3 linked regions of the Saccharomyces cerevisiae S288C genome follow. Changing the gene in region 1 together with any one later gene gives a genetic interaction. Each region holds a gene or a part of one and is shown in the gene's direction. Other genes may lie near its edges. The genes, in order: MTH1, CTK3 and SNF3.

The links.
Region 2: mutations in MTH1 (region 1) and CTK3 together harm fitness more than expected from each alone (negative genetic interaction), as found in Saccharomyces cerevisiae (2 studies listed by BioGRID).
Region 3: of MTH1 (region 1) and SNF3, a mutation in one rescues a mutant of the other (synthetic rescue), as found in Saccharomyces cerevisiae (3 studies listed by BioGRID, with this or other methods).

Annotation. Positions count from the first base shown.
Region 1 is NC_001136.10:1,013,850-1,017,610, reverse strand, and holds MTH1 (Mth1p), read left to right. Parts: upstream 1-1,908; coding exon 1,909-3,210; downstream 3,211-3,761.
Region 2 is NC_001145.3:43,115-46,458, forward strand, and holds CTK3 (Ctk3p), read left to right. Parts: upstream 1-1,948; coding exon 1,949-2,839; downstream 2,840-3,344. Other genes in the region: TAF8 (Taf8p), read right to left, coding at 1-461; DAT1 (Dat1p), read left to right, coding at 931-1,677. UniProt on the Saccharomyces cerevisiae protein: Gamma subunit of the CTDK-I complex, which hyperphosphorylates the C-terminal heptapeptide repeat domain (CTD) of the largest RNA polymerase II subunit.
Region 3 is NC_001136.10:109,946-113,706, forward strand, and holds the start of SNF3 (glucose sensor), read left to right. Parts: upstream 1-1,634; coding exon 1,635-3,761. Other genes in the region: SEC31 (Sec31p), read left to right, coding at 1-1,084.

The DNA of each region.
Region 1 (3,761 bases):
TTTATCAAATTTAACAGAATCTGAAAATGCAGAGACTGATAATTAATAAAATAAAAACGGTGATTTTTTAAATGAAAGAGGGAATAATGATATCATTATGTGGAATGATCTGCTCCTTTTTGTATTTCCAACAATTTCAGTAAAGTCGTATCTTTCCTACCTAATAATATTGCCATAACAAATAATTTAGCCCCTAAATAGTCATAAGAGAACTCATTGAGAGTCAAAGAAAATCATATTCCCTAACAGAACCTTGATTTGCGACCGAATAATTGGCTTTCTTCATTACATAATGAACGTTTCTTTTAGGTCAAACTATCACCAAGGTACAATCCGATGTAGTGTAACGGCTATCACATCACGTTCTCACCGTGGAGACCGGGGTTCGACTCCCCGCTTCGGAGTTTCTTTTTTATTTTCTAGAAAAATTCACATGCTGATTCATTTACCGTTACTGTTTCACTGTGATGCTACTAGTCATATTCTTCTTATATCAATTTTTTTTCTATTGCTGTTTGCATTACCGCAACATACGATGGGAATAAACAGCACAAGCTGTTGTGTACATTTTTCCTCATCATATAACTACAATGTACATAAGTTAGCTTGAAAAAATTCTAGGTCTCATATTAATGCTTGAAATATGGAAGTATGTCGAATGTTTTATAAATAAGTCGAGAAAAATGGTTATGCTACCAGCTAACTTATATATATATAAGACTCTTTCATTCTTTTCTTTGTCTCTCAAACTTATATTTGTTTACGTTTTGGAGGAAAACTAATTATTTTTTTAATAAAGTAAACATAGCATTTCCAAGGTGCAAACCGATCCCTACCACCAAAATAAGCATACAAGACCGTTACAGCGTTAAGACAAAACTATGCTTCTAGGGGGGGGGGACAAAGCAAGGAAGATTAAAATGAATTCTTCAACTTAGGGGTACTTTAAGAGAAAGAATTCAATACTTGCGTTAGCTGACCACCCCATAGTTCGTTTAGATAAGGATATGGTGTGAAATTCATAGTTGAAGACTCTTGAGGAGGTAGGGAACATCTCTCTTCGCCCACCAAACCCAGTTTTCTCTAATACTCCATATCCAAAAAAGTGTAGCTCTATGTACATTGCCAAGGTTTTCTACTGATCAATATTTGATGGAAAAATATGACATAAGGTATGCGTATTAGTAAACTATTAGGGAGCCGCCGGTACTAATAACATCAAGGCCATCTCACGCCGAGACTTACTTGGACTTTTCTCTATTGTAAAGCGGAAAAAAAGTTATCACCCCGCCCCCTCCTCCGCTCCTCCACTAAAACGATCAGCAAATGGCAGAATAACGCGGTACTAACCAGTTTTTCCGTTCCTTGAAACCCAGTCATACTATGAAGTCCCTAAAATTATTCCGAAATTATTCCCTAGAACAAGCGGGAAAAAGGTCCGGGGAAATGGAGTCCGTGCGAGTTTTGTTAGGATGACTGCCCCACACATTTCCTCATCTTATAATTTTGTGGAAAAATTCATCGTGAGAGAAAATACGAGTCCATTTCTCCAGTGAAACTACCGTAGACATGGAATATCTGCCATTCTACCCCTTATTCAAGTGCCTTTTTTTTTTTTTTTCATCCCACATTTTATTGCTGCCTCAATCTCCATTAAGAAAAAAAATTTATATAACCAAATGACATTTTTCCTTTCTTCTCAAACTTTGTAATGCGCCTGTAACTGCTTCTTTTTTTATTAAAAAACAGCATGGAGTTTTTTAATAACTTAAGGAAACATACAAAAAGATTTGTTCATTTCACTCCAAGTATTTTTTAACGTATATTGAAAGTTCTCAATAGCGAAACCACAAGCAGCAATACAAAGAGAATTTTATTCGAACGCATAGAGTACACACACTCAAAGGAATGTTTGTTTCACCACCACCAGCAACTTCGAAAAACCAAGTTTTACAACGACGTCCATTAGAATCGACTAACAGTAATCATGGGTTTGCAAGCTCCCTACAGGCCATTCCGGAAAACACGATGAGTGGCAGTGATAATGCTTCTTTTCAAAGTTTGCCACTATCAATGAGTAGCTCTCAATCCACGACTTCTTCGAGAAGAGAGAACTTTGTGAATGCTCCTCCGGAGTACACTGATAGAGCTAGAGATGAGATTAAAAAAAGATTATTGGCCTCCTCACCTAGCAGAAGGTCACATCATTCAAGCAGTATGCATTCAGCGAGCAGGAGATCAAGCGTGGCTGAAAGTGGGAGTTTACTTTCGGATAATGCCTCGTCTTATCAATCAAGTATATTTTCTGCCCCCTCTACTGTGCACACGCAACTAACTAATGACTCTTCGTTCTCCGAATTTCCTAACCACAAGTTAATCACGAGAGTGAGCCTGGATGAAGCATTACCCAAAACGTTTTATGACATGTATTCGCCAGATATTCTATTAGCAGACCCATCCAACATTCTCTGTAACGGGCGTCCCAAGTTTACCAAGAGAGAGTTATTGGATTGGGATTTAAACGATATAAGATCGTTATTGATAGTCGAGAAGTTAAGGCCCGAATGGGGTAATCAACTACCGGAAGTAATAACGGTGGGTGATAATATGCCCCAGTTTAGGTTACAATTATTACCACTATATTCTAGCGATGAGACCATAATCGCAACGTTAGTCCATTCGGATCTGTACATGGAGGCTAACTTAGATTATGAATTCAAACTAACCAGCGCCAAATATACAGTAGCGACCGCTAGAAAAAGACATGAGCATATAACTGGTAGAAATGAAGCCGTCATGAATTTGTCGAAACCGGAATGGAGAAATATCATCGAAAATTACCTCTTAAATATAGCAGTAGAGGCACAATGCAGGTTTGATTTCAAACAAAGATGCTCCGAATATAAGAAATGGAAGTTACAACAGTCCAACTTAAAAAGACCGGACATGCCCCCACCAAGCATAATACCGCGGAAAAACAGCACAGAAACAAAATCGCTTCTGAAAAAGGCTTTATTGAAGAACATTCAGTTGAAAAACCCCAATAATAACCTTGATGAATTGATGATGAGATCAAGCGCCGCAACAAATCAACAGGGAAAAAACAAAGTCAGCTTATCTAAAGAAGAAAAGGCTACGATATGGTCGCAATGTCAGGCACAAGTTTACCAAAGATTAGGATTGGATTGGCAGCCGGATTCAGTATCCTGAAGATACTAAAAAGAAACCTTCCCGATGGTTTTTTTGGAGACTCTTCGATTGTATCAATACTATCCCATGGACATCAGTTTTAATAGAGGAGCTCCAAATTCCCAAGGAATTGAGGAAGAAGCGCCAATGATTTATATATACAAACTAGCTGTTGCAGCTTTATAGAGATTTAGTAATAAGAATTTTATGGGAACGTGGTACCGTTATCGCAGTAAAGAGTCAAGGGTAGCGAAGATCAAACCATACGATGACGAAATACCTTTAGTTCTTAGCATCACCAATCGCAGACATCCAACGTATCCGTGCGCGTAATCCTTCTCTTGGTAGTTGAGCACAGCATACAGAAGAAGCCGCGCGCAAGCGGTAAATGTCTTTCCTCCGGCCTTCTAACCACCAAAACCGATCTCGGAACATGGGGGGGGGAAGGTCCTCTGAATCGAAAAACCCGAGACAGCGAGAGGGATTTTGCAGAAAATTACAAAGATCACTATTTACTGCTCCCCTCACTTCCGCAGTCCCCTAATAGCGGAAGATGCAATGGGTGTGGGCTC
Region 2 (3,344 bases), on another chromosome or scaffold:
ATATTATTCAATTCGTCCTCTTCATCTTCTTCGTTATGCGGTAAAGCAGCAAGAGACGACCAGCTCATCAATTTTTCATATTCCGTGGAATGCTTCGATTTGATGAATTCTGAGGCCTGAAACTGCTGATAAAGGGAGGGCGCATCCAGGTTAAACTCTCGAAGCAACAATTTCAAATCTGCTTGAGAAGCTTGCGACCTTCTTTGTAAAAGTGTTAAATTGTGCAGGTTCCGAAACATGCCGTCCATTTGGACGGTCACGAGGTTGACCAGCTCATCCAATGCAAAGTTTGAAATGCAGATGTTCAACGAATTCAACTGGAAAAGTACTGTTTTCTTTAGAATTTCAACTACGGGAGCATCTATTTCCAAGTGACTAATTTCCGTCAAATCCGGTAGGTTCCTCAGCTGAACTATGGTACTTTGGGTACCGGTACCACTTTCTGACGTTTTGGAAGTCATTGCCCTTTATGAGTCCCTCAATTACACGTTTGTTTGCTTGCTTGCCTCTCTCTCCATTGCTTTTACTCTCTTTTTTAAAGAGTTCAAGATTTTCTACATAAAAGCATCGGGTAACACTCCCATATACACCATTTGTGCTTAAGCTGGCTTCTACCAGTCGCGTTTCAAGCGACTTTATTGATCGCATCAGCGTAGAACAAGAACAGAACTATGTATGCAAACAGGACTAATCATCTTCAGTTATCTTACTTTAGTTTGCAACTATTTATATCATGTTTTCTTTTCAACTTCTTTTTTTTTTTTTCGTTTATGAAGCCGATGCTAATGCATCAATTTTTTTTTTTTGGTGATGAGTTTTGAAAGAAAATGAAAAAAAAAAAATTTCTATTATTGTCAGTGGAGTTTTTGAACAGATCACCTTGTGAATCTACAAACTGTCCTAAAGTATATTGGAGCAGGACATTGGGTGATGGCGAAAACTTTGGCACAAGGAAGGAAACCTGGAAGCGGCAGAAAGCCCGGAAAAGGGAAGACGTTGAGAGAGGGAAGAAAGCCTGGCAGTGGTAGGAGGAGGAGGCAAGATACTGGGGGTAAAGAGACCGACGGGTCTCAGCAAGATCAGGAGTCGCGTCTTATTAGTTCCAGGGACATGGAAGCTGTGGACGCACTGAGAGAGTTGACGCACAGCCCGTCGTCTCACTCAGCTCATAATTCATCAGCAGCACCACCGCCGCATGCAGCAGCGGCGTCAACTTCATTGCCTCCATCTCTGGATTATACCCATCAGTCATTCATGGATCAACAACAACAACAGCAGCAGCAGCAGCAGCAACAACTACTACAGCAACAGAGAGTGGACGTCGTTCCGCCCAAGCCGTTCATCACCCACAAGATCCTGTTATCTTCAACGGGAAACTCTGGCGGCCACGTGAATTCAAATTACAACGCCGACCACAGCATTAATCATAATTCAAACCACAACCTTAACAGCAACGTGAACGTGAACATGAACTTTACTATAAATGGGAGCAATCAAGACCCGTCATCTTCTTTCCTGATGGGGCCCTACAACTACTTACAGCGGCCTTTCATTGTGAAACCATATCTTGATCTGTCCACAAGCACAGCAGCATCAAATCAGCCACGGACGCAACCATCGCCGGCAGCACATATCACTAAGAATTCCGATTCTACAGAGAAAAACGCAACCATATGACATTCATTTCCAGCATACCACTAAAACATTCGTATATGCCACATAATAACTAGTTGAGAAAACCATAGATATTTATATTTATATGTATTTGTACTTCTTTGAGCAATGTATATTTAAGACTGATCTCAACTTCAGCAACTGTTCAAATTCACTGTTTTTCCTAATTAAGCACAACATGAAAAACTAGAATTTTAGAAAGAAAAGGAAAAAGAATACCAGATGGTAGTTAATTTCTCACAAAAGCACTGCCAGGTAAAGGTATACAGCAAGGATGGACTCTCTTGAAGCTAGATTACAATTCATTCAGGTCCTGAAGAACCTGCAAAAGACGCTGCACAAGACCAGAGACTCTATCACATCATCGTCGACCACCACACCACCGTCATCGCAACAAAAGCTGAACAATGACCCTATACAGTTCTACTTGAGAAACTACAGACATCACTACGAGGACTTCCACCAATGTTTGTTCGATACAACCATGAAGATGGACCCACTAGATAGACTGGACGTAGTGATATACTATGTTAGAATAATAAGAAACTTATATCCGCATAGCCATTCCAATACCAATGTTACAAAAGTGTTAAACGAAGTGCTACTCATGGACATAGACTTGGTTTTTGAGCTTTGTCTGCCCTGCCAGGACTGGAAATCCCTCACGAATCAAGCCACCTGTAAAGAGCTATTCCTTGACTTATCCAAACTAATCCATTACGACGCCACCAGCGTCACGCACACACCATCAGACACCACACTCATAGACGCTACTACCTGGTACAGTGTCAAGACAGAGAGGACTACAAAGGACTATAAAGAATCATTGCAACGAACGGAGTCTCTGCTTAAGGACAGAGACTTGAAGAAATTGGCTTTCTTTCAGCAGTTCAATTCCGATACAACTGCGATCAACCCGGACTTACAGACGCAGCCAACCAATGCAAACATTTTGTTGCACAGGATGGAAGCAGACAGGGAACTGCACAAGAGGTCGAAAGAGACAAGTTGGTACATCGAAAGGCCCTCCAACGATATACTGGATGAATCCGAATTTAAAAGCTTGTGGACGCATTTTGAAACTACTGATTCCGGATTTGATAAGGACGATTACAAAAATATCAAGGCTTTAAATGACATTGCGAAGGCATCTTACATATATTAGTACCATGACGTTATATATATATCTGTGAAGAGAATCCGTATCTGTATTATATATACGTATATACGTATCAATGCGCGTACAAAATGAACTTGTCTTTTTCTTATCTCGATTTCAGGAAAAGCAAACTATTCAAGGTGAAACGGCGGCTAATTTTCCTCTAAGTTACTTTTATTGTAGTCCTCAACATGTGCAGACGAATAAACTTAACACGGTTTGCAGAGTGTGTTGTTGAGTATAAAACAGTCAATTTCTGTGGACCTGGCCGTAGCCTATTGCTGAAAACACACAAAAGAGGAGTTTGACGAGACTTAAAACAAGCCAAGGAAAATACCATGTTAGACTACTCCCTTCATTCGATGGTTTTACGCCGCATTTCTACACAAATGAATTTACATTCGGGCTGATATGGTTGCTACATAAGCGAATTTAAAATTTGAGAAGGTTCATTGTTGCCTTGTGGTTCGAGCTTAAAGATCATAAAGAACCGCGGGGAATTTGTCTAGTT
Region 3 (3,761 bases), 900 kb from region 1:
TCTCAACCGTAAAGCCAATGATGGTTGGAATGATTTGCCTTTGAAGGTCAAAGAAAAACCATCTCGTGCCAAGGCTGTATCTGTTGCCCCTCCAAATATCCTATCGACACCAACTCCATTAAATGGTATCCCTGCAAATGCTGCTAGTACCATGCCTCCGCCACCTCTTTCCAGAGCTCCCTCTTCTGTGTCAATGGTATCACCACCTCCTCTACACAAAAATTCTAGAGTCCCATCCTTGGTTGCAACTTCTGAGTCACCAAGGGCATCCATATCAAATCCATACGCTCCTCCTCAATCATCACAACAATTCCCAATAGGTACTATTTCTACAGCAAACCAAACGTCAAACACCGCTCAGGTAGCTTCATCGAACCCCTATGCTCCACCACCACAACAAAGAGTAGCAACCCCATTATCTGGAGGCGTGCCTCCAGCTCCGTTGCCAAAGGCCTCTAATCCATATGCTCCAACTGCAACCACTCAACCCAACGGTTCCTCCTATCCTCCAACCGGTCCGTATACTAATAACCATACCATGACCTCTCCTCCTCCCGTTTTTAACAAACCTCCCACTGGCCCCCCTCCGATTAGCATGAAGAAGAGAAGCAACAAGTTAGCTAGTATAGAACAAAACCCATCTCAAGGTGCTACTTATCCTCCAACCCTTTCCAGCTCGGCCTCTCCATTGCAGCCTTCTCAACCGCCAACTTTGGCTTCTCAGGTTAATACCTCCGCTGAGAATGTCAGTCATGAAATTCCAGCTGATCAACAACCCATTGTCGACTTCTTGAAAGAAGAACTGGCTCGCGTAACACCATTGACCCCAAAGGAGTACTCCAAACAATTAAAGGATTGTGATAAACGATTAAAGATTCTTTTCTACCATTTGGAAAAGCAGGATTTATTAACCCAACCAACAATCGATTGTTTACATGACCTCGTCGCATTAATGAAGGAAAAGAAATACAAAGAAGCTATGGTCATCCATGCTAATATCGCTACAAACCATGCTCAAGAGGGTGGTAACTGGCTGACAGGAGTGAAGAGGTTGATTGGCATAGCTGAAGCGACTTTGAATTAATTCAGTCTCAAAACTTTCAGTACAAAAAGTGGCGTATTGGCCTTGTTTTTTTCTTATTATGTCTTATAGTATTATATTTATATATTTATGTACTTATCCTTTTATGTTTAAACCTAATCAAGATCACAATTAGAACTAGCTTAACATTACTTCTCAAAACCAACCAATACCTCTTATATCTTTTTTACAGCCTTTCCCTTATGTTTTTACCATGTACACCTCGAGCGGCAAATCTCCGGGGAAATTTTAAACTTGCCGCATCGCACATTCTAAAGAACAAAAGGAGGAGGAACTGTCAATTATTCTATAATCTGGGGAAATTCAGTCATACTGAGAAAAACTAGACAATAGTCCTATCCTCGGCAAATTGCATTGATAGTACTTACACATCGAGAGATCATAGGACAGATAAGAAGCATTTTATTGAAGAAAAACAGAGAGAGTCACTATAAGTTGACCTCACTATAGAAATTAAAACAGAAAAGTTTTACTGAGGACCTTTTTAAACAGAAGGATATGCCTTTGTTGGCATAGAAAGAAGAATTTATAAATGGATCCTAATAGTAACAGTTCTAGCGAAACATTACGCCAAGAGAAACAGGGTTTCCTAGACAAAGCTCTTCAGAGGGTGAAGGGCATAGCACTGCGACGAAACAATAGTAACAAAGATCATACAACAGATGATACGACAGGTAGCATACGAACCCCTACGAGCTTGCAGCGGCAAAATTCTGACAGGCAATCTAATATGACATCCGTGTTTACGGATGACATTTCTACCATAGACGACAACTCAATTTTATTTTCAGAGCCTCCTCAGAAACAATCTATGATGATGTCTATATGCGTAGGTGTTTTTGTTGCAGTTGGCGGATTTTTATTTGGTTATGATACAGGTCTGATCAACAGTATTACATCTATGAACTATGTGAAGTCACACGTAGCACCTAATCACGATTCATTTACCGCCCAACAAATGTCCATTTTGGTGTCATTTTTGTCATTGGGAACTTTTTTTGGGGCTTTAACTGCACCATTTATATCTGATTCGTATGGCAGGAAGCCTACTATCATTTTCAGTACAATTTTCATCTTCTCTATCGGAAATTCTTTACAGGTAGGTGCTGGAGGAATCACATTATTGATTGTGGGAAGGGTCATTTCAGGTATCGGTATAGGCGCAATTTCAGCGGTTGTTCCATTATACCAAGCAGAAGCTACACATAAATCATTAAGAGGTGCTATTATTTCTACTTACCAATGGGCCATTACCTGGGGCTTGCTCGTGTCAAGTGCAGTGTCGCAAGGGACACACGCAAGAAACGACGCATCTTCGTATCGGATTCCCATAGGGTTGCAATATGTCTGGTCGTCATTTCTCGCTATCGGGATGTTCTTTCTCCCTGAGAGTCCACGCTATTACGTTTTGAAAGACAAGCTAGATGAAGCAGCTAAATCTTTATCGTTTTTAAGAGGTGTACCAGTCCATGATTCTGGGTTACTGGAAGAACTAGTTGAAATAAAGGCAACATATGATTACGAGGCATCTTTTGGTTCTTCGAACTTCATTGATTGTTTTATTTCAAGTAAAAGTAGACCAAAGCAAACTCTAAGGATGTTTACGGGAATTGCCCTTCAAGCATTTCAACAATTTTCAGGTATCAACTTTATATTTTACTACGGTGTCAATTTCTTCAATAAGACAGGAGTCAGTAATAGTTATCTGGTTTCATTTATAACCTATGCTGTTAATGTTGTCTTTAATGTTCCTGGTTTGTTTTTTGTGGAATTTTTTGGTAGACGTAAGGTGCTGGTTGTTGGGGGTGTTATCATGACTATAGCCAACTTTATTGTGGCCATTGTTGGGTGTTCCTTAAAGACTGTAGCGGCCGCAAAAGTTATGATAGCATTTATATGTCTATTCATAGCTGCCTTTTCTGCTACATGGGGTGGTGTTGTTTGGGTTATTTCAGCAGAACTGTACCCATTGGGTGTGAGATCTAAATGTACGGCTATATGCGCTGCTGCTAACTGGCTTGTAAACTTTATTTGTGCTTTAATTACCCCTTATATTGTAGATACTGGGTCGCATACATCATCATTAGGTGCAAAAATATTCTTCATTTGGGGCTCCTTAAATGCGATGGGGGTGATAGTTGTTTACTTGACCGTTTATGAAACGAAGGGTTTGACATTAGAAGAGATTGATGAATTATATATTAAGTCATCCACTGGTGTCGTGTCACCAAAATTTAATAAAGATATTAGGGAACGCGCACTTAAATTCCAATACGATCCTTTGCAAAGATTAGAAGACGGAAAGAACACTTTTGTTGCTAAAAGAAATAATTTTGACGATGAAACACCAAGAAATGATTTTCGAAATACGATATCGGGCGAAATAGATCATAGTCCCAATCAAAAAGAAGTTCATTCTATCCCAGAACGTGTTGATATTCCTACTAGTACAGAAATTCTTGAAAGCCCGAACAAAAGTAGTGGTATGACAGTCCCTGTGTCACCTTCTCTGCAAGACGTTCCAATCCCGCAAACAACAGAGCCTGCTGAAATTCGAACCAAATATGTGGACCTAGGAAATGGGCTTGGTCTTAATACGTATAATAGAGGGCCTCCCTCACTCTCAAGCGACTCAAGCGAAGATTACACAGAAGATGAA